Lonchura striata: one gene and its partner. The protein of the gene in region 1 interacts with the protein of each later gene in a pairwise test. Links are inferred from orthologs where the notes say so. Each region holds a gene or a part of one and is shown in the gene's direction. Other genes may lie near its edges.

What was found.
Region 2: the proteins of GOLGA2 (region 1) and uncharacterized protein LOC110483956 interact in binary tests that used the Homo sapiens proteins (3 or more experiments, as listed by UniProt). The two-hybrid records come from large-scale screens. The link is inferred for Lonchura striata from reciprocal best matches to the Homo sapiens genes GOLGA2 and TPM1.

The regions. Positions count from the first base shown.
Region 1 is NC_134624.1:591,457-601,121, reverse strand, and holds the start of GOLGA2 (golgin subfamily A member 2), read left to right. Parts: upstream 1-4,918; 5' UTR 4,919-4,977; coding exon 4,978-5,025; intron 5,026-6,166; coding exon 6,167-6,289; intron 6,290-6,606; coding exon 6,607-6,687; intron 6,688-9,665. Other genes in the region: DNA repair protein SWI5 homolog, read right to left, coding at 1,816-1,880, 2,138-2,232, 3,179-3,465. UniProt on the Homo sapiens protein: Peripheral membrane component of the cis-Golgi stack that acts as a membrane skeleton that maintains the structure of the Golgi apparatus, and as a vesicle thether that facilitates vesicle fusion to the Golgi membrane.
Region 2 is NC_134613.1:7,963,232-7,973,191, reverse strand, and holds the start of uncharacterized protein LOC110483956, read left to right. Parts: upstream 1-6,072; 5' UTR 6,073-6,279; coding exon 6,280-6,393; intron 6,394-7,327; coding exon 7,328-7,453; intron 7,454-9,738; exon of another isoform or gene 9,739-9,783; coding exon of another isoform or gene 9,784-9,915; intron 9,916-9,960. UniProt on the Homo sapiens protein: Binds to actin filaments in muscle and non-muscle cells. Plays a central role, in association with the troponin complex, in the calcium dependent regulation of vertebrate striated muscle contraction.

The DNA.
Region 1 (9,665 bases):
GGAATGCAGCTCCACCGCCTGGCAGAGCCAGCGTGCCAGCAGCAGAGATTCCCCAAGCACACTGTGCCCTGTCCTTGGGCTGTTCTCATCCTCCATGGACAAGGGATTTGGATCAGGGGACCTTCCCTGGACACCTGCCCAGTGCTACCTGAAGCGTAAACCCATCCCTGCAGCCACAAGCAGGACACTTGCACAGCCCCAGCTGCAAGTTTTAACCCAGTGCTCCTACTTAGTGGGGAAGAAAATATCGACTTCTCACTCCTTGAACAACCTTCAGTAACTTTGGTAATGGACTGTACTTCATCCCCTCAGCTCACACCTCACAAAAACTGAACAATTTCCATACATACTTCCTATTGCAAAAGCAATTTCCAATTGTGTCACTGACAGAGGAACATTTTGGTTGGAACACTCCAAACGCTGAGCTAGTCCTTGTACACAGACAGGAAATACCAGCCAAAACAGCAACTTTAGTAACAGAGTTTGCATTTCCTAGTTCTTGCCACCTTGTGCCTTTTTTCCTCCCCTTAAAACTACTCCAAAACACATGAGTGTTCCACACTTGGCAGAGGGGTATGTGTTGGGGAGGGGTGTGAACGTGTCCTCTGAGTATCCACTCTGGTCTGGGCACAGGAAATATTCTGCACAGCTGCACATCAACAGAAACTTACTTAGATGAATCATGGAATATACAGGCTCTTTCCGTCCCCCTGCTTGAGGCCACTCCCCACAGATTTTAAGGCAAAACAAGACACTATTAGTGATGTATCTGTGCCACATCCAGAGCCAGGAGTGTAAAACCAATTATCTGTTCTCAGCAGCAGCCTTGTGACTGGTTTCAGGCTTCCAATCACAATGAAGATAGATTAATTTGATTCAAATTTGGAAGGAACAAGCAGACTGCAGCATGGGCCTAACTGGAGACCACAGGGGAAACTTACTGGCTGGAAGGTCTTTGTAAGTAAAAATGGGCAGAAGGACATCAAGTCTGAGTGAAAAAGGGACAATAGATCTGCAGTCAGCAGAGCACTTCATCACTTCCAAGTGCCCAAAGCAGCCAAATTTAGTCTGTGCAGTCACCCTCAGCCCTATCAGTGACATTGAAACACTCGTGCTCCCAACATCATCATGCAATGTCCAGCACAGCACTCACTCCCACCATGACTCTGCAGTTAGAGCAAAGTGATTCTGCACCTGCACATTCCTGGAGAAAACATTTGAATAGTTCATGTCTCAATATAGTTTTAGAATTTTTTCCCAGGTTCATGCACTGTTTTATAGGCTCTTAAAGTGATTTACTGACAAATGTGAAGGCTGCTTTATTCAGAGTGAACAGTCAACACAACTTTACATTTTGCCATTTACTACAGAAATGATACAAAACCTCCAGATACCAGAGCAGGTAAGTACAAAAATGCAGAACACCCAGACTTCTCTGGATTTGTTGATAAAACAAAAGAAACCCCCAAACCACCACAATTTCTGCCTTCTTCCCTCCTTTCTTCTGAGGGTTTTACTTTCAAAGCAGCTATTACATTGCACATTTGTATGCCCTCACTTCCTCTATCCATTCAGTAAACAAACAGCCCCTGGATACTGTAGGGAATCAAAGGGTCCATGGAAGAGGCTCAACATCAACCTGAACTACAACCTTAAAAAAAAAACCTGTTGATCAAGTAGTACATGAAATTATCTAAAATCCTACATCCCTTTTCCAAAGGTTCCTTTCTGTCTCTCCTAAACCAGGATGACACCAATGTGTAATGGCACAGTGACAGTCACTTTTGCATGACATGGCAGCTTCCAGGTTCAGGACTAGTCACTGAGTTCCAGGTCATACTCAGGATAGAGCTGTTTTGTAGTGACCCCTCGGATAACAGCTAGGAAATAAAAAAACAGCATTGCTTTCATTAAACAAAGATCATGGGAGTCAGAAACGTGGTGTTTTCTTTCCCTAATTATCCCATAGCACATCCTATAGCCAAGAAACCCAAGGTTTTGCAGCTATGCCTCCTGCATACCCAAACACTTTTTTAAAAGTGAAGAATTGTAACACAAGCTTTGCTTCCATAGTAGCAGCTTCTTTCTGTATGAAAACACTGACTAAAAAGGTCTTGAACAGCTTTCCCTTTCTTACCTAGCTTGCCCAGGAGCATTTGCCCAGCATCTTTGATTTCATTGTATTCATGGAGCAGAGAGATGTGCTTGTCCAGTTCCTCCAGGCTGTAGCCCCTGTAAAATAACACCAGGAAGGTCAGAAATGACACAGGGGGACTGGGATTTCCTGCTGCTGTGGGGGACACCAAGCCTGGAACCTCAAAAGCAGACTCAACACAACAGAGTGCAGTTCCTGCAAGTCCTAAACATGAAGATCTACACAAGCTCAAGAAAGCCAATGCACCCAAGTTCTCAGAATCAAGTAGAAACAAGAGTAGGCTGTGGTGAATTCCTTTGATACGTATCTCTAATCTGTATATAGGGAAAAAATTAAGAATCGTAGAATCATTTAGGATGGAAAAGACCCTCAAGAGCATCAAGTCCAACCTTTGGCTAAGCACCACCATACTGACTAAACCAGAACACTTCGTGCCATATCCAGTCATCTCTTGAATACCTCCAGGGATTGTGACTCCATCACCTCCCTGCCAGCCCAGCCCAATGTTTAATCACCCTTTCAGCAAAGAAATTCCTCCTGATGTCCAACCTGGAGTTCCCCTGGCATAGCCTGAGGCCATTTCCTCTTGTTCTGTTGCTAGGTTTGTTTACCCTTGAGGATAAATAAAAAAGAGTTCTGGAACAGCCTTTGTTGTTCTACCATTTCCATCCTATGCACCACATTTACCTTAGAAAATATAAGTCTAACACAACAAATAACAAGTGGCTAAAATTATCTGTTCCCAGTAAACACATAATTACCTCAGGAACACCCAGGCTAAAACAAAAATCCTCTTATGCAAGCTCCCAGTAAAACTTGTTTTGCTTTACCACACAAAGTGGAAAGAATTCCCTCTTGTCTCTAACAAGTCCCATCACTTACAACACTGTAACCAACATTGCACCATACCAACAACAGCATCACAGAAGGTCAGCTCTCAGCTCCAATTCCTGGATCACATTCTATTTTAAAAACAAAAATAATTAAGGCATCAAGTAAACACTGAGCTTGCCAAGGACGTACTCTGACAATAATTGTGCAATTTCCTGGTCTAGAGCAAGGTTTTTCTGTTTCAGCTCTTTGATTTCACACTGCAGGGCTTCTTCGCTGGCTCCATTAAGCTGGAAGGACTTTGGAGATGGGATCTGTAGAACACAGAAGACACGTAGCAGGAACTCAGCTCTGGGTAAGATGTTACAATGCTGCAGCACTAATGTGAAAATAGCGTACATGTCACTTGATAAAACAGGAGAAAAGGAAAAAAATATCCCCAGGGTGGGCGGGGAGGGGGGTTCAAATAAAATGTGCATTAGTGTACATAACACTAGTGTGCTCCATACCACATCTAACCACACTTTCGAGAGCTACACTGTAAAGTGAAAATAAATAATTCAAATAAAATATATTAAAAAAATATTAAAACAAAAGAATTAAAATCACAATGTGCCTTTTAGGAGAAACTCCCAGCACGACACAGTGCAAACTGCAGTGCTGGCGCTAACCCGGGGAACCCTCAAGGGAAAGCCCTCCCCACCGGGCAGGGCCGAGCCCCGCCAACGAGGGGACTCGTTCCCCGGGGCAGCCCGCGCAGGACTCACCGGTGCCCTGAATCCGGCCGTGCCGCCCCGCCGGCCGCCGGCCCTGGCAAAGCAGAGGGCGCCGCGTCAGGGGCCGGTACCGGCACCCGCCGCGGCGGGGACGCGGCCCGGGAGGGGGGGCAGCGGGGAACGGCTCCTACCTCCTGGGAAGGGCCCGCGGCGGCGGGCGGCGGGGCGGGCTGCGGCCCGCGGCCGGCGGGACCCGCTCGGCCAGGGCTGAGGGCTCCCGCTGCAGGCTCGGAGCTCCCGCCACACCGGAGAGGGGGAGTCCCCTCGCCACAGAGAACGCCGGGAGTTGTAGTCCCCCCGCCACAGAGAACGCCGGGAGTTGTAGTCCCCTCGCCACAGAGAACGCCGGGAGTTGTAGTCCCCTCGCCACAGAGAACGCCGGGAGTTGTAGTCCCCTGCCGGGCCCGACCGTGGTGGGGCTGCAGGTGACATTGGGTGTGGCAGGACACAATTGTCCCCCGAGGGCCGCAGGCGAGGTGGTGACATTTGGTCCTTCAGAGACATCTCAGCACCGTGCCTCAGCTGGGACGGGGGCTCAGGAGATTTCGAGAATCATTGAATCAATCTGGTTCGAAAAGACCTCGAGTTCGAAAAATCACTCATGTGATGGAACACCATCATGCCAACCAGACACGGCCCTGGGTGCCATGTCCAGTGTTTGCCCGTAGCCACCGCTGCGATGTTGTTTTCGCAAGGTGAGCACTGCCCACTCCCCCGCTTGTCCCTGTGTCCCACCGGGCCCCTCAGCTCCCCCCGAGTCCCGCACAGAGGCTCGGACAGCGCTGGAGGCCCCGTCCTGCCGCAGGGAGCGTGTCCCTGTCAGCGCCGTGTCCCAGAGCCGGAGCTGCCCGAGCCTCAGCTGCTGCCGCGCTTGGAAGGTCAAAGGATTTGGGATCACACAGAACGACCCTGCCGCCTGCCCTGCGCGCGGGATCAGCCTCGGACACCAAGGGCGGGACAGCGAGGGGAGCCGGGCTGCCCCTCCCGGCATTTGCGCTGGGCTGCCGGGTCGCTACAGCAGCGGGGCAGAGCCCGGTGTCACACGGGGAGCGCGGTGTCCCGCGGTGTCCCGCGGTGTCCCGGGGCCGGGCTGTCCCGGCGGGGCCGGGCTGCCCCGCGTGTCACCCCGGGGTGTCCCGGGGCGGAGCGGGGCCGGCCGGGGGCGGAGCCGCCGCCGCTGCTGGCGGGCTGACGTGGCCGGGGCGCGGGGCGGACATGGCGGACGGCAGCAGGCAGAGCCGGTTGGCCGCGGCCAAGAAGAAGGTGAGGGGCCGGCGGTCCGGGCGGGACGGGGCACGACGTGACGGAGCGGGGGCGGCTGCGCTCCGCGGGCCCCGCGCGGGCCGGGCCGGGCCGAGCCGAGCGCGGCCTCCCCGCGGGCCGGGCCGGGCCGCCCCCTCGCTTCGGGCCCGGGAGGCTGCGGCTCTCCGGGGCTGCGGCCCGGCCTTCTCGGCGGGCGGCCGGGGCGAGGCCGGGCCTGGGTGGCTGCGGTGCTGCCAGGGTTCCCCGGGCTGCTGTGCGGGTGTCGTTGTCCCCCCCGCCTTCCTTTTTCCCCGTATTTTTTCCCTCGGGGCGGCCCGGCTGCCTGCGTCCCGGCGGGATGCGCTTCTGTGTCAAAGTCACGGAAACGGGAAAGTGTCCTGGAGCAGTTCAGGCTTCCATTTTGAAATCCTACCAATAATGGGATCCTCCTCCGTCCTTCTCCGTGCCCCGCTGCCCCGCCGTGCCTGCCCGGGGTGTGCGGGCCGGGGGTGCCGTTGTTTGCATAAACAGCTGCCGGCTCTGGGGCTCGGGCGTGCAGGAATTGCACAGAAATGCCGGCAGACCTGGAGGGATTCGAGTTACATCTTATCAGACCGGCACTTCCTGGGCGAAGTGGATGCGATTAAAAATCATTTGTAGATTGTTTCTCCCCTTAGCTTGCAGTTGTTGCAGTGTCTGCTGTGGGGATTGCAACTGTCCTTCATAAAATCTTCCGTGGAGTGGAAAATACTACTATCAGGCAGTGCTTTCTCACTTTGCATGTAGGATTAATTGCCCTTTATTACTTTTGCCTCATTGCTCTTACTTATAACCTTGAAATCCCGCAAACCAGTGCTTTCAATCTCCTTTTAGTTGTACTGTAGAGTGTGAAACAATTTCCCAGGAACAGCATTGGCTGTAAACAAAAGTTGAATGTTTACAACTCTTGTCATAAACCCATCACTTTGGTCTTAACTTTAGCCTTCTCTGGGCTTATTTTGATTCCCGTTTTTATCCCATATCGATAAATTAATGGAAGAGCATTCCCCTTGTCCTTACACTTGATCTGTATTTTTACCAGTGAAGTTAGTTTTGAGGGGTCTTTGAGGTTATAGAAGGCATATATTGTTTGGACTTCAGATTTGTCTTCTTCTGTTCACAGCTGAAGGAATATCAGCAGAAGAACAGCCCTGGAGCCACTGCAGGAACTAAGAAAAAACGCAAAACTAAAGAAGGCAGCAGACCTGCCACTCCCACCACTGATGACCAGCAGCCTCCAGAGAATGTGAGTGTCTCTTTCTGCGAAATCATTTGCCACCTCCCTCTTCTTCAGTTTTCTGGACAGTCTGACCGGAGCTGGAAGTGGTTGTGCTGGGGTAAGAGCTGAGTGGTGTAGGTGCTGTATGAGGTGCCTGCTCTGGAAGGTGCAGCTGGCATTGGAGGCTGTCCAGTGGTGCCCTGGGTGTGCCCGGAGCTGCTGGGCTGAGGCGTGTGGTTCCCACGAGCTGGATGAGGATGGTTCCTTGGCTGCCTTGGATTGATGTTTTCTCTCTGTCCTTCTCTGAGCCATTTCTCTTTCCCCTTTTCTTTCGCTTCCTGTAGATTCAGAACATTCTGAAGGTGCTGGTGTCAGACCTTAACCGCTCCAATGGGGTAGCCATACCCTCATTGGACAAGAGGAAGGTGAGGCAGTGCTTGTGTCCCTCGCAGTGACTCGCTCTCCCTCCTGCATGTCTGGGTTCTGTTCACACTGAGCTCCATCTCCCAGGATGGAGCCTTGTCCTCACATATCCATTGTCAGTTGCTTCAGTTTTGTTGCTGTTTTTATTAACATGGAGCTCTTTCTTACCATTGCTTGTTAAGTGCTTGTTTCCTTCTGGTTAGTGTCAAAGTTAACACGTCAAAAAGTGAGCCTTGTCAAAAAGTCTTTCTTGAGACAGCTGAGCTTGGAGGAAAACAGGAATTTGGGGTGAGGCAATAAACTAATTTGTAACAGCTGAGGAAGACTGCAGTAGGAAGAGGTAGTGATTCCTTATTCTGTATTTCTTCTGCTCTTAGTGTCATTGCTTTGTTTTCTGGAGCTTGGTTTCTGAAGGGCATGTTTCTGCTCATCTCCAGGCAAACAGCTGCACTGGCTGGTTATTCCAGCCACCCATTTTATGACAGGCGATGAAGCTGGCACAGGTGATGTACAGTCTGGCAAGTAGCAGGGGTGTAAATATGCTTAGGCAGGAAGTCAGATACTTCAAAGCCAGGCATGTACAGGCTTCAGCCTCTTCACATTCCCAAGATCCTGAAGAGGAAAGGGCAGGAAGTATGCCAAGGAGCAAGAGAAAGGTGCATACGTGAACAGCATTTTAAAACCACTTACTTTCAGACAGTTAGTTTGTTTAAAATAAGGCCCAAACTGTGATAAAACTCAGAGAAGTCAAATTTTGTAGCTGAGAATATTCTTCCAGTTTTGTTGTACCAAAGCTCTGCTTTTCATTTTCACTTGCATCGTTTTGGTAGCTCATTTCCCTGCCATTATTTCAATGTAGTTGTCATAAAGTAGTTAATTGTTATATTAAATGCATATCCATGGGTATCCAGCAATAAATATAACTATAGTAATCACATGGAGTACCTGACAGATAAAGTGAAACCTGCAAGGTGGAATGGAATTCCCTCTGAATTGCCTTTGTATCCTTTTTCCCTTTTTTTTCCTTTTGTGTGATAGTATGTCTGACACACAGAGTGCCACCAGCGGGACTGTGTTGTGTAGGTTCTGTAGCAGCAGAATTCGAGTGATGTGAAGACACACTGCCAGCTTTGGGGTGCTGGGTGTGCCTCAGAAAACTTGTGTTGTGGCTGAAGTGTCACTGTTGTCCTGGAGACTGTTTTCAGTTAGTACTTGTCAGCTCAGAGTAAGTTAAATTTTGGGAAAAGAGACTTGTTTCCCATTGGAGGGTGAAATGAAGATAGGTGGTCCAGTGCTGTTGCTGAGGTGACACTTAGCCTTGCAGTAAAGGCCTACCTGTGTCTACAGCTTTAGTCATGATCTGCACAGGGAGCATCTGTTGCTCTATTCATTCTTGTTTCCCCTTTCTTTTTTTCTCTTCAGAGATACAGTTTGATCTGATTGGCTGTTATGGAATTTTTGGACTGTTGTGCCTAGAGTTTTCAGAATTATTTGAAAACTAGTCTTTACCTGCAATATGTAATGAAAGAACAATTTCTCATTCCAGTTTCTGTCCTGTAAATGTCCTGAGTCAGGAAAATGCTGTTTAGAAACTTGATGCTAATAGGGTAGAAAAGCTGAAAATTGGCAGCTGAGCTGCTGCTGCCATTGGTGTCTCATGTGAGGCAGAGCCCTCCCTTCTCTCTCATTTGAGCTTTCTTGGCTCTGAAACAGAGGAAAACGAGCAAAGTCAAAAGTCTTAGTGTGAAAGCAAATGGATCCTACTACATGCTAAGCTGAGCAGAATTACTGACTTTTTATTCTATATTATTGGAATGTCACAAAGCATAATTTCCATATAAGTGTTTTGCTTCTATTGCTTTCTGTTTCAAACAAATTCAAGTGTTCAAATAGTTTTGGGGTTTTTGACAGTTTATTACAAAACTGCTCCTTGTGAGGAAAGGAGGAAGGAGTTCTTGTGGTTAGGGAACATTACTGGTTTCTGCATCTTGGAAGTATTAGGCAGAATGAATGTTCTGATCAGAAGAAATTATCATTTTGAGATGCACTGGGAAATTAATTCTTCCTGTCCCTCTGATGTTTATATTGATGAGTGTGTGATGGATAAAGGTGAAGTAACCTTTAGCTGGAAGAAGTGAGGGAGTTCCTGACCTTCCTAATAAGCACCTAACATGTATTGCTCCTTCAGAGCATCAGTACCTGTCCTGCTAAAAAGAAATTCAGAAAATTCTTGGTTTTCCCTTTGTAGTCTTCCAACTTACTACCTTCATTAAATCTGTCTCCACTGTTGCTGTTTTAACCTTGCTGCTGGATTAGTGAGTGAAGTGCTGAGCAGGTAAACAGGGAATGCCAAGAGAGAGAGAGAGATTTCTTGATTCCTGTGAAGTGCCAAGAAGGAAGTGACTGAAGTAAAAGGGAACTCTTCCAGGTGGAATTGCAGAGCTGCAATATATTGGTGGGGCTGAATGCTGAGATTATCTCTTTTGTTTTGTTGTGTTTTTAAGTCATGACTTACTAGAGCTGGATGATGAAATCAATCAAATTAGTGTAAAACACAAAAGCACTGCTGGACCTTTATGGCTGTAGTGCTGTGCAAGGAGATGAAATGGGTCAGTGCAGTGTGGCTTTGTAGAGGGGGCTGCAGATGCCATCCATCCTCTCACAGAGGCTGGATGAGAACTTGCTGTCCAGAAATAGTTTTTTGGCGCTTCTCTTTTCTATTTAGATTCTTCTAGTCATGGGATCCATGGCTGCAGCAGGGCCACAGGCACCTGCTCCCAGCCACCCTCCCTCTGGCCTGTTCATAAATGTCCTGTTTCTAAACTGGTGGGTCATGGCATGCCACAAATTTCACCGAGTTTTAGACAGAGAACTTGAGTCTGACTAACCATTTTTGAAGTAGTCAAGCCTCTGTTCTTTTCCATCTTCATTTGCATACAGTGACCTGTGTTTTCCCCAGGAATACCTCAAAGGTGGTGCT
Region 2 (9,960 bases), on another chromosome or scaffold:
TGATGAATGGTTGTTTATAAGATAAGGCTGCATGCATCTTTCTTTCCTTTCTCTCCTCTAAGAAAAAAAAAAAATAAAAAAGACTTCTCTGGGTTTCAGTAGACAGTTTTTTCTTTTAAGTGTTTGTTTGTGGGTTTCATTGTTCCCCAGTAGGTCTACTTCAGATGGCAAAAAAAGCCTTTGGCCAGATCTGGCAGGGTGGGCTGTTGGTTTGGTTCTCGGGATCAGGGAAGATCCTGAGAAAGGTGAATATTCATGTCAAATAAAAAGTCTCATATCTTCCAGAAATAACCTCTTTACCTCCTAGGCTTATATAATGAATTTTCACAGCTTAATTACTAATTTTCTTGAGGTATGCACACAGTTTGGTTGAAGCAGAATCATTCCTGAAGGTTAAGTGTAATATTAGCTTTTTTGCTATCAGTAAACTTGCTTTTCCCAGAGCCAAAATCATGCAGTAGAAATGTTCTACTCTGATATTTCTTTATGGTAGAGATCTCTTAAGACTACTGTGTAAATTCCTCAGTCATCAGTCATAGGTAGATAGGTTAGTTTAGACTGTATGAATGTGGACATATTTTCCTACATCCTGTCCAAATTCAGATAAATGCCTTGATGTGTGATGGCTGAGAACCTCCACAAGACAAAACTAAATCCTGTCAGGAGAGGAATGCTCACATGTACAGCCCAACAGCTTCTGTTCATTCACTTAATGCAGCAGCTTTTCTTTTTTCCTTCTGTGCTGCAGGAATTGCTACAGCTGTATGAACTGCTGTGAACTCTGATAAATGATTTCAGGACATTCGTAAAACACTTAAACTTTTCCCAGTTACAGCCAAGAGAAGGGGGATAGCGGTTTGCCCTGATATTTCTCTACAGCATCTCTCTACTAATTGTATCAAGAGGTGGACATCAGAAATATAGTCAGATTTCTTGTTTCCTATTTTTCATTCCTGCTCTGTTCTACTCTCACATGTTACTGTACCAGTAAGATCAGTAACACAAATCTGTTAGAGGTATGCAATGGTAGTTGCTCTTTGTTCTGCTAAGGAGAAATCCCCAACAAAACTGCAAAGCTAAATTTCAGGACACCTTGTAGTCTTGTAGATATGGCAGCAGATGTTACAGTGATAGTGTATTTATCTATATATAGCTCAAAGCACTGGCAAATGAACTGGTTCACAAGGATGGAACTCTGCCTTTGAAGGTATTGGCCTTCTTGTTGTCCACAACTTTTTCTCAATTGCATTCAGTAGAACTGGGTCTGATGTCATTTGGGATAGTGTAAATCAGAGGAGATCACAAACTTTAATGCAATTTCTGCACCACTGTCAGGTCAGGAGTGGACTCTCACCAGAAGAGTTGCTTCTTTTTTGATTTGTTGATTCACAGTTCTTTTCAGTTTGGTGCTTGGGTAAAGTTGATTGTAGTTTTTTTTTTTTCCCCTCATTGCATGTTAATTGTCTTTTTCTGTTACTTGGCCTTTTCACTGTTCTTTTCTATGGCACAATACTATACTCTAAATCAAAATGGACTGGGTATTCTTTTTAAAGTCTGTTTTTAAAACACTTTTAAAATAGAAGATTACTTCAGTCAGATTTAAGTAAATGACTTGAGACTTCACTGAGTGGGACATAAATCCAACAATATATGAATACAGACAAACAGTTATAAATTATCTATTAATCTTTTCTTGGTCTGAAGCTATAAAGAGAAATATGTAGAAAAACATCATACCAAGAGTGAAATTTGGGTTTTGTCTTTCTGTTACTTGTTTTTTGTAGATGTTTTTCAGAGAATGACATTAGTAACTCCTAACTACCAGCTAAAGCAAATCTGATTTTAAAAGAAAGCATAATACAAAAACTTGGGAGACATGTTTGCTCAGCTGAAATCTAGCAAATAACAGTAGTGCAATTAGAGTGAAAGGAGTCTTAGGGAAAAAATAAAAAAGACCTTCTCAGAGCTATTTTAAGATCTTAGGTCATGAGTTAGGTCATGTGCTTCTTAGCATTTGGTGTGGTATCTGAGTAGACCCTCAGATTATAGATCAGGGCAGGTGCAGAAGACTGTGCTATAAATACATTTTTACTTAAGGAGTTCACTAATTTCTTGAATGACAAGCCAAACAGAAACATTAGTTCAGAAGAGGAAAATTATTAAAATAATTTAAATCTTAATTTTCCAACAAATCATCTCATAGTTCTTAATCACAAAAGCTAAACTGTTCTCCACCATTACCTAGGAAATGGTACTGAAAACCTTTTACAGAGTTACAGCATGAATTAAGCATGACTGGCATGTTCTGGAGTATTTCTGTACTTGTTTGCTGCCTACTGAGCTGTGCAGAGCACTGGCCATTGGGATTCCTACCTTCTGTTTTAGGGCTTTCTCTCCCCTTATGGCTGAAGCATAGATGACCAATTTCCCCAGGAGAAATTTGCCCTTTTTATGCTTCTTTCAGAAATATTGTCCCTCAATTTTTTTAGTGCAAAGCTCTTGGAGATCCTTACAGGATAAAATACACTGACTGTACTAGTAAAACCTACCTGATTTCATCAGTATTATTTTATTTGTTTTTCTAGGTGAATACAGATGTTTTCAATTTCCTATTTTCTTATAATATCCTACACTCATATTGTTGGCTCCCTTTATCCAAAAGGAACATTGCTGTTTTACAAGGGCAGCAGAGGTCTCAGAGACCTTTGAGAAATTGGTTTATATTTCATTTATATTTGCCTCCATGTGAGGGAACACTACACTTTTCAAATGACATACAGGCCTGTGAGTTCACTCTGACTGACCTAACTTGAATCCTTACTAGTTTTTTAGGAGGCATGTTTTATAGAACTGGCAGAACCAGTTGTTAGGTGTCATTTCCTGTATATTCCTAAAAAAAAAAAAAAAAAAAAAAAAAAAAAGACCCACACAAAAAAACCCCAACCCACAACCCAAAGCAAAAAGAGACCCAGGAGAAGAGTAAGTAGGTAAAGCAACTCCAAAGGCATTGTTTGAAATTTTTCCAAGTGATTATGTCCACCTACCCTTTTGTCTGTTACCAGAATCAACCCCCTATGACCAACCCCATCTATGCTCGAAGAGCAGATCCTCCTCAAGGCAAATTTCTGCCCATGTCAAGGGATAGGTGACATGACAGAAACATCATTATATAAACAAGTCCCAGCCTTACTCTGTATTGTACTGTCAGTAAGCCTGAATTGTGGCATCACCTGCTCACAGAAGGAGTTGTAAATTTTAAAACCAGGTATCCTTTCTTGGTGCTTTGAGTTTGCTGTCTTGATTTTCTGAAGAGCCCAGTTAAATTAACAGAATTCAAAAATAGTTCAGTAGGTATTCCCCAGAAGAAAGTGAAACTATTGCTAGGGAGTTCCTGCACCATTTATTGATGAGATGAGCCAAGCCATTGTGCTGAAAAAAGAGGTGACAAGTAATAGAGAATTTGTACTATGTCATAAAAGCAAAGTTTGTGCTGCCTTCTTCTTTCAGTAATTAAAAATAATTTGCATACAATCTGTCTTCACATATCAATTAAAGAGGGAGAGACTATACAAGCTATTTAATTTCTAAGCCTATCTTTCTTGGCCAGCTGGAACAGAAGTTTCCAAGTAATTGAAATTGTTAATGAAAGGTATAGCAAGCATGTTAACACATGTCTGTACTTTTCATATTCTCTCCAGGAGGAAAACAAAAATTAAATCAACATCAGCCAGTTCAGCCCCTTGGATACAGGTCATCTTGCTATAAACAAACTTATTAACTGCACATTTTCATGTAAGTAGAACCTCAATGTTTTTTGGTTTTTTTTTTCCTGTGGAGGTGATACCATCCTGCAGGTATTTTTTTTAAACTTTGTGTTCCTTCTACCTGTATCTCATACTTTCTTCTGTATCCTAGAGGCTCCCATGTCGTGACTAATATTCTTTCAGAAAACTCAAACAGGAGCTGCACAGGCATTCTTTTAAGAGCCTGTGCACCCCTCCCAAATTAGCCAGACAGCTGTTTGCTTAATTTCGCAAGATATTTTATTTCCCCAAAGTGAGAAGAGCTACCTCAGTGAATTCCCAACAATGATACTCTATGTTTTTTAAGGCAGAGGAAAATGTTCTCCTAAACTAGGGTTAAAACATACTGATACATTTAACAAAGACGTCAGGTTGTTGAACAATATGTAACTAGGTATCTTTTAAATATTCACTATACTTATTTCAGAAAGGCCCTAATCTTTACTGACTGTAGTGTGAAATCAAAGTAAGTGCAAAGAGAAAAACTACACTTTAGAGTTGGTTGTGACTAAATCTGTACTTTTTTAATACTCTTGTGTTTTAAAACATTCTGTGATAGTGCAATGTTTTACTCAATAATTTTTACTGTTGTACTAGCTTGGTTATTAAATCAATGGAGTGAGAAAGGACTGCAGTGATAAATGTCTTTTCTTTAAGTAGGCATAAGGAAAGCTATTTTAACAGTGGACTTCTGCTCCCTAGGAGCAGCACACATGAATCCCCATTCCAAGTTGTGAGCCTCTGAATTTTGTATAGTTCCTAGGTTAATTCAGATTATGGCCTTTCTGAGGACCTGGGGATTGTAACTGTTGGTCTTCATCAGGGGGCTTTGCTATCTTGTAGAGCTGAAGCTTTGTTTAAGCTCTCCAGGAACTGGCCTCCAAGGTCTGCTCGGCAAATCAAGCCCTTAACTGCCCTGATAAGCACCATGGGCCAGAAGTTGTAGGACATTCCCTCCTCCTGCAAAGTCACATCAGTTCAGCTGATCCAGTGACAGCACCACGGAGGAATTTTCTGCTACAAGTATTGAGTGTAGACAAAGGCTGCCTAATTTTCTCTTTGTGCAACCCACATCCTGTGGGACTTATGCACATCCCTGTACTTTCTACGCTGTACAAGGGAGCGTGCGTCCTGAGGACGTGTCGTGTCTTGCTCACTCTGCTGATGAGACTGTGAGAGACACGCCAGAAGTGAATTAAATAGGTCTTCACTTAATTATATGCAATTTTGTTAATTGTCTATCTGTTGCTGTCCCTCACTGGCATTACGAAAGGGTGCAAGTCACGTCTGTAGCTAGATTCCCTGCCCCAGCTATTCCTGGGCTCCTTCCCTCGCAGCTCTGGATACCCCCGGCAGGGCAGGTTTCCCACTGCTCCCGCTGAGGGTCGCAGTAGCTCCCGTCCGCCTTTTCTGTTCCTCCTTGCGCCCTTGAGCGCGCAGTACCGAGGCGCATCTCCCTGCAGGGCCAGGAGCCCCGGCCAGGTACTGCAGAGGAGAGCGGTGCACTTCGGAAGCACGGGCAGCCGCTGGCACCTCTGCCCTGTCCCGGCACTGCTCGGCCCCTTCCCCTCGGTGTGGGTCCCGGCGGAAGGCCAGCCCTGCCCGGGTCTCATCCCAAAGGCCGGGCTTCGTGCCCGGCTCTGCATGGGCACATTTGCTGCGGCCCGGCTGTTGAGGAGAGGTGCCCCCTCCTCCTCTGCTCCTCCGGCTGCCGGGGGGAGGTCTCGGAACGCATTCATTCCGTACGTGCATGCGATTAACCCCCTACTGCCCGTCCTGCAAACCCCCGTGCCCCGCAGGCCCGCCTTCCCCTGCCGCCTGATGCGATCGGCTCCGCCACCCTCCTGCTGTAGAACAGATTGATTTCCACGGGTGGGGACGGCTCCCGCGTGGGGCCGGTGTCACCCAGACACCCTGCCCGCTGCGAGCAGCCTTCGCGCCCGTCTCTTCAGCTCCCCTCGCTCCGTCTTGCTGCCTTTTTTTTTTTTTTTTTTTTCCCCTCCCGGGAGTAGCAGCGAAATGTCCCGTCCTGCCTATTTAGAAATGGGAACAAATTGCTCCCCCGCCTTACCTCGCCCATCGCATCCCATATATAGTCATATCTGCGGTCAAATGGCAGGCGGCAGCGAATGGGAAGGCTGTGCCTCCCAAAAAAAACCCGGGGGCAGTGAGAGAGGGAAAGGGGTAGGGACGAAAGGAGGAGGGAGGGAGGGAAGAAAAGAAGCCCTTTCCAAAAAAGTATTGGATGTCTTGAGGAATGCAGTCAGCCCCCTGGGAAAGTACATATCTGTGAGGCGCTCCCTGCCCGCCGCTTGCATTCGGCTGTGCCCCGTCCCGCACGGATCAACCCCGCCGCCCGGCAGCTGCACTCCGCTCCCCCGGGGGCCTGCGTCCGGACTCGGGGCTGTCCCGCAACTTTTAAAGTTTTTCTTTCGGAAGCAGTTCGCACGGGGACGCGCTCTAGCCCACCGCCACCATGGATGCCATCAAGAAGAAGATGCAGATGCTGAAGCTGGACAAGGAGAACGCCTTGGACAGAGCCGAGCAAGCCGAAGCGGACAAGAAGGCAGCGGAGGAGAGAAGCAAGCAGGTCTGCACCGAGGGCCCGGGCGCAGCGAGCGCCGGGGCGCAAATCTTTCCAGACTATTCTCTTTTTTTTTTTACCTCCTCCCCTATTCTTCCCCCGTCACCATACTTTGTTATATTGCAGCCCCGCGCCCCTGCAGAACTGGTTGAACTTTCCCTAAGGCAGAGCTTCAGCCTGGCAGCCACCGGCTGGAGGTTCCCGGGGGCGCGGCGGGAACCATTCCCCACCATTCCAGCTAGGGAGCAGGGCCTCGGGACGGCTGCGTGGCCTCTGTGCCTTTGTCACAGGGGGACGGCTTAGGGAGGCTGCCCAGAACGCCTGATTAGCACTGGACAGATGTGCGGCGATTTGGCAAAGGACAGTTAAAGCTGTGTTTGCCCACTCCATCATCCCTCAGCAGATGTGTCCGATTCCAGCTGCCCTCCCACCCTTCTCCGGACGCATGCCCCACCTTTTTGTCCTTCTTCAACCCCCCTGGGACTTCTCGATTCGGGGAGGGGGGTGCATCGATTGCACGTTTCTAGGAGATCCTGAAGGAGGAGGGAGAAAGGAAGAGTGATTTATAAATTAGTTTCACAGTTTTCTAAGCCAAGGGAGAAACATACTTGTGCATTATATTTCCTCTTGTGCACCTAGTTAGAGGATGACATTGTGCAATTGGAAAAGCAATTGCGTGGGACGGAGGATACAAGGGACCAAGTGCTGGAAGAGCTACACAAGTCTGAGGACAGCCTCCTCTCCGCAGAGGAGAATGCTGCCAAGGTATTGTGCCCTTGCTGCAAGCAAAGAGGATCTAACTGTCTCTCCTTCTTTCTCTCTCTGTCTGTCCTTTTCTGTCTCTTCTGCACTCACACCTCTCCGTTTGCACGATCACGCTGCCTGCTGCACCTTTTCCTGCCCGCCCTCCCCTCTCCACCACTTTCCACCCATATCACAGCTGGAGGACGAGCTGGTGGCTCTACAAAAGAAGCTGAAGGCCACTGAGGATGAGCTGGACAAATACTCCGAGTCCCTTAAAGATGCACAGGAAAAGTTGGAACTGGCTGACAAAAAGGCCACAGATGTAAGTTACCCCCATCCCTTTCGCCACAAGCCCGAAAGAGAAACCACACACTCCCTCTGCTCAGGACAGCCTGGACTCCTACTCAGCAGCACTGCAAAGCTTTGCTGAAGGCAGAGTCCAGGCACCTCCTGGACAGGGAGGTGGGAAACACAGCACTGCCTCCCTGCATGAGGTTTGCACACTATCAGAGGCGTCTGATTTGGTTTTTGCTCACTTGATGTGTGCTTTTTATGTGTACTTGCCACTCGAGATGTGAAAGTAAAGAAATGGTGATTTATCTATTCAGATGATGGGTAAAACGGCTCAGGCTGGAACAACACTGTCTTGACAGTGAAACAGAAGCAGAGAGTTAATAGTGAGTAGGTGCAGGAGAGGGAGATCCAGAAGAGCAAGGACTGCTAGTTCTGTTTTCAAGACAGCTGTTGCTAGGTATGCATGTGTTAGAACTGCTGGTAGATACTGGCTTGGCTCACTGGCCCCTGAGATAAAAGGTTCTCTCCTGCTTCCCCCCGCCTCCCCCCTCCCTTGGAATCAGTGGAACTGCTTCACTTGTCAAAGAAAAGTTGTCTTGTGTGACAGAAAAATGTCTGGAAGATGATACTTGCTAGTTTTGCAGTTCATAGGACAGGGATCCTGGGAGCAAGTTGAGAGATATATATAGCTCAGCACTTTATATGGTAATAAGGCAAGAGCTTGTGCCTCTCCCAGGCCCTCATCCCACCCACCTGTCTGTTCCTGACATGCATTTAATGGATCGCATGCATGGAACCATAAGAGTATAGTCTGTGCAGTTAAGGTCTTGGTCTCTATTGCTGCTGTTGGACAATTTAATTCTCCTTGAGTAAATCTCAGGTCTGAATTACAGGATTAGATGAAACTGCAGTATTTCCAAAGCAATGACCCTCCTTTTCCTATAGCTCAGCTCTAAAAGCCAACCTCAAAGCCAAAATGAAAAGGAGTTGCCTCAAGTGAAGCAAGCAAAGTATTTCAGGGGTAGGAAGGATACTTTCAAAAATGGAAACGTTACAAACAACAACTTTGCATAGAAGACAATATGCTTTTATCTTATTTTATTTCTAAAAGGAATAAAGAAAGAAAAGATTTAGCTTCAGTATGGCAACTAAGATATATAGTTTTGAAAGAGAACCCAAGAACTTAACAAACAGAAGTGTTCAAAGGAACAAGGGAGAGGGATCCGTGTATAATGTGGATCAGATGTCTGCTCTGTGCAGGCTGCCATAGGAGAGGCAGCTTCCTAGCAGGACATTTATTTAGCTTGTTCAAAGGAGCCGCATATAGATCCAAGGGAGATATTCCTTATATGGAAAAGTATGCAGACTATTTGGAAATAGCTTGCCTAAGATGAAGGCAGGAGAAATGCTACTAGATTCCTGTTCTGAAACTAAGGATGTTCCTAACTGATCCCCATGCCTCCTGCCCCTGCTGGAAAACAGTGTTTCGAAGCTAGTTGAGGGTAATTTTATTTAATTGAGGTGGAGGGTGGGAGAGTGTCTGGCATGTTTTCTTCGAGGTAAATACGTTATTTATTTGTATGTATGGAGTATGTCTTGACAGTTTAGGGATTTTTTTTTGGCAATGAAGAGTATATTTGGGGCATTGCAGTTGACCCAATATTTACCTTATTAGTTTGGATAATTCCGAGCCTTTGGAAAAGGTCAGAGGCAGAGAGGGATGTCGGCTCGCTGAGATGGACTCGCCTTTGACTGGGACGAGAAAATATTACCTGTCCCATATGACTCATCCCCGGAGCCACCCCACCAGAGAGGGGGCAGCTGCAGCCCCCTCTCCCCTCCCCGTGTCTCAGGAGCCAGGCCGGGTGCGGCAGCATCTGGCGGGTTCTTCGATGTCGTTTTCTGACGCTCCTCTGGGGGCGGTTTGCGGGGGGAAGGTGGGCCTTGACCCCGGGTCGGGTCCGGTCCGGTCCGGGGCACCTCGCGCACCGTGCCGCCAGGCGGCGCTGCTGCCCGACACATCCACCGGGCACGGCCGCGCTGCGGCAGGACCGGCCCGGCCCCGACAGGACCGGCCCGGCCCCAGTCAGGAGCGGCCCATCCCCAGTCACCACCGGCCCAACCGCGGTCGGTCCGGGCAGGGCCGGCCCATTCACTGCTACGACCGGCCCATCCCGGTTCGGTGCCGACCGATCCCCGGCCAGGACCAGCCCATCCCTAGGACGGCTGGACCATCCTCCGTCCCCGCCCCGCTCGCAGCCCGGTGCCGGAGCGTACAGCCCCGCCCCGGAGCGCTGTGGCGCGGGGGGACTTCCGGGGCTGCGGAGGGAGGTGGCGCGGGCTGGGCGAGGTGCGGGCATGGCGGCGATGAGCTCGCTCGAGGCCGTGCGCAGGAAGATTCGCAGCCTGCAGGAGCAGGCGGACGCCGCCGAGGAGCGGGCGGGACGGCTGCAGCGGGAGGTGGACCAGGAGCGGGCGTTGCGGGAGGAGGTAGGGCCGCCCCTCGGCCCGACTCGGGCCCGGGGCTTGGGGGCG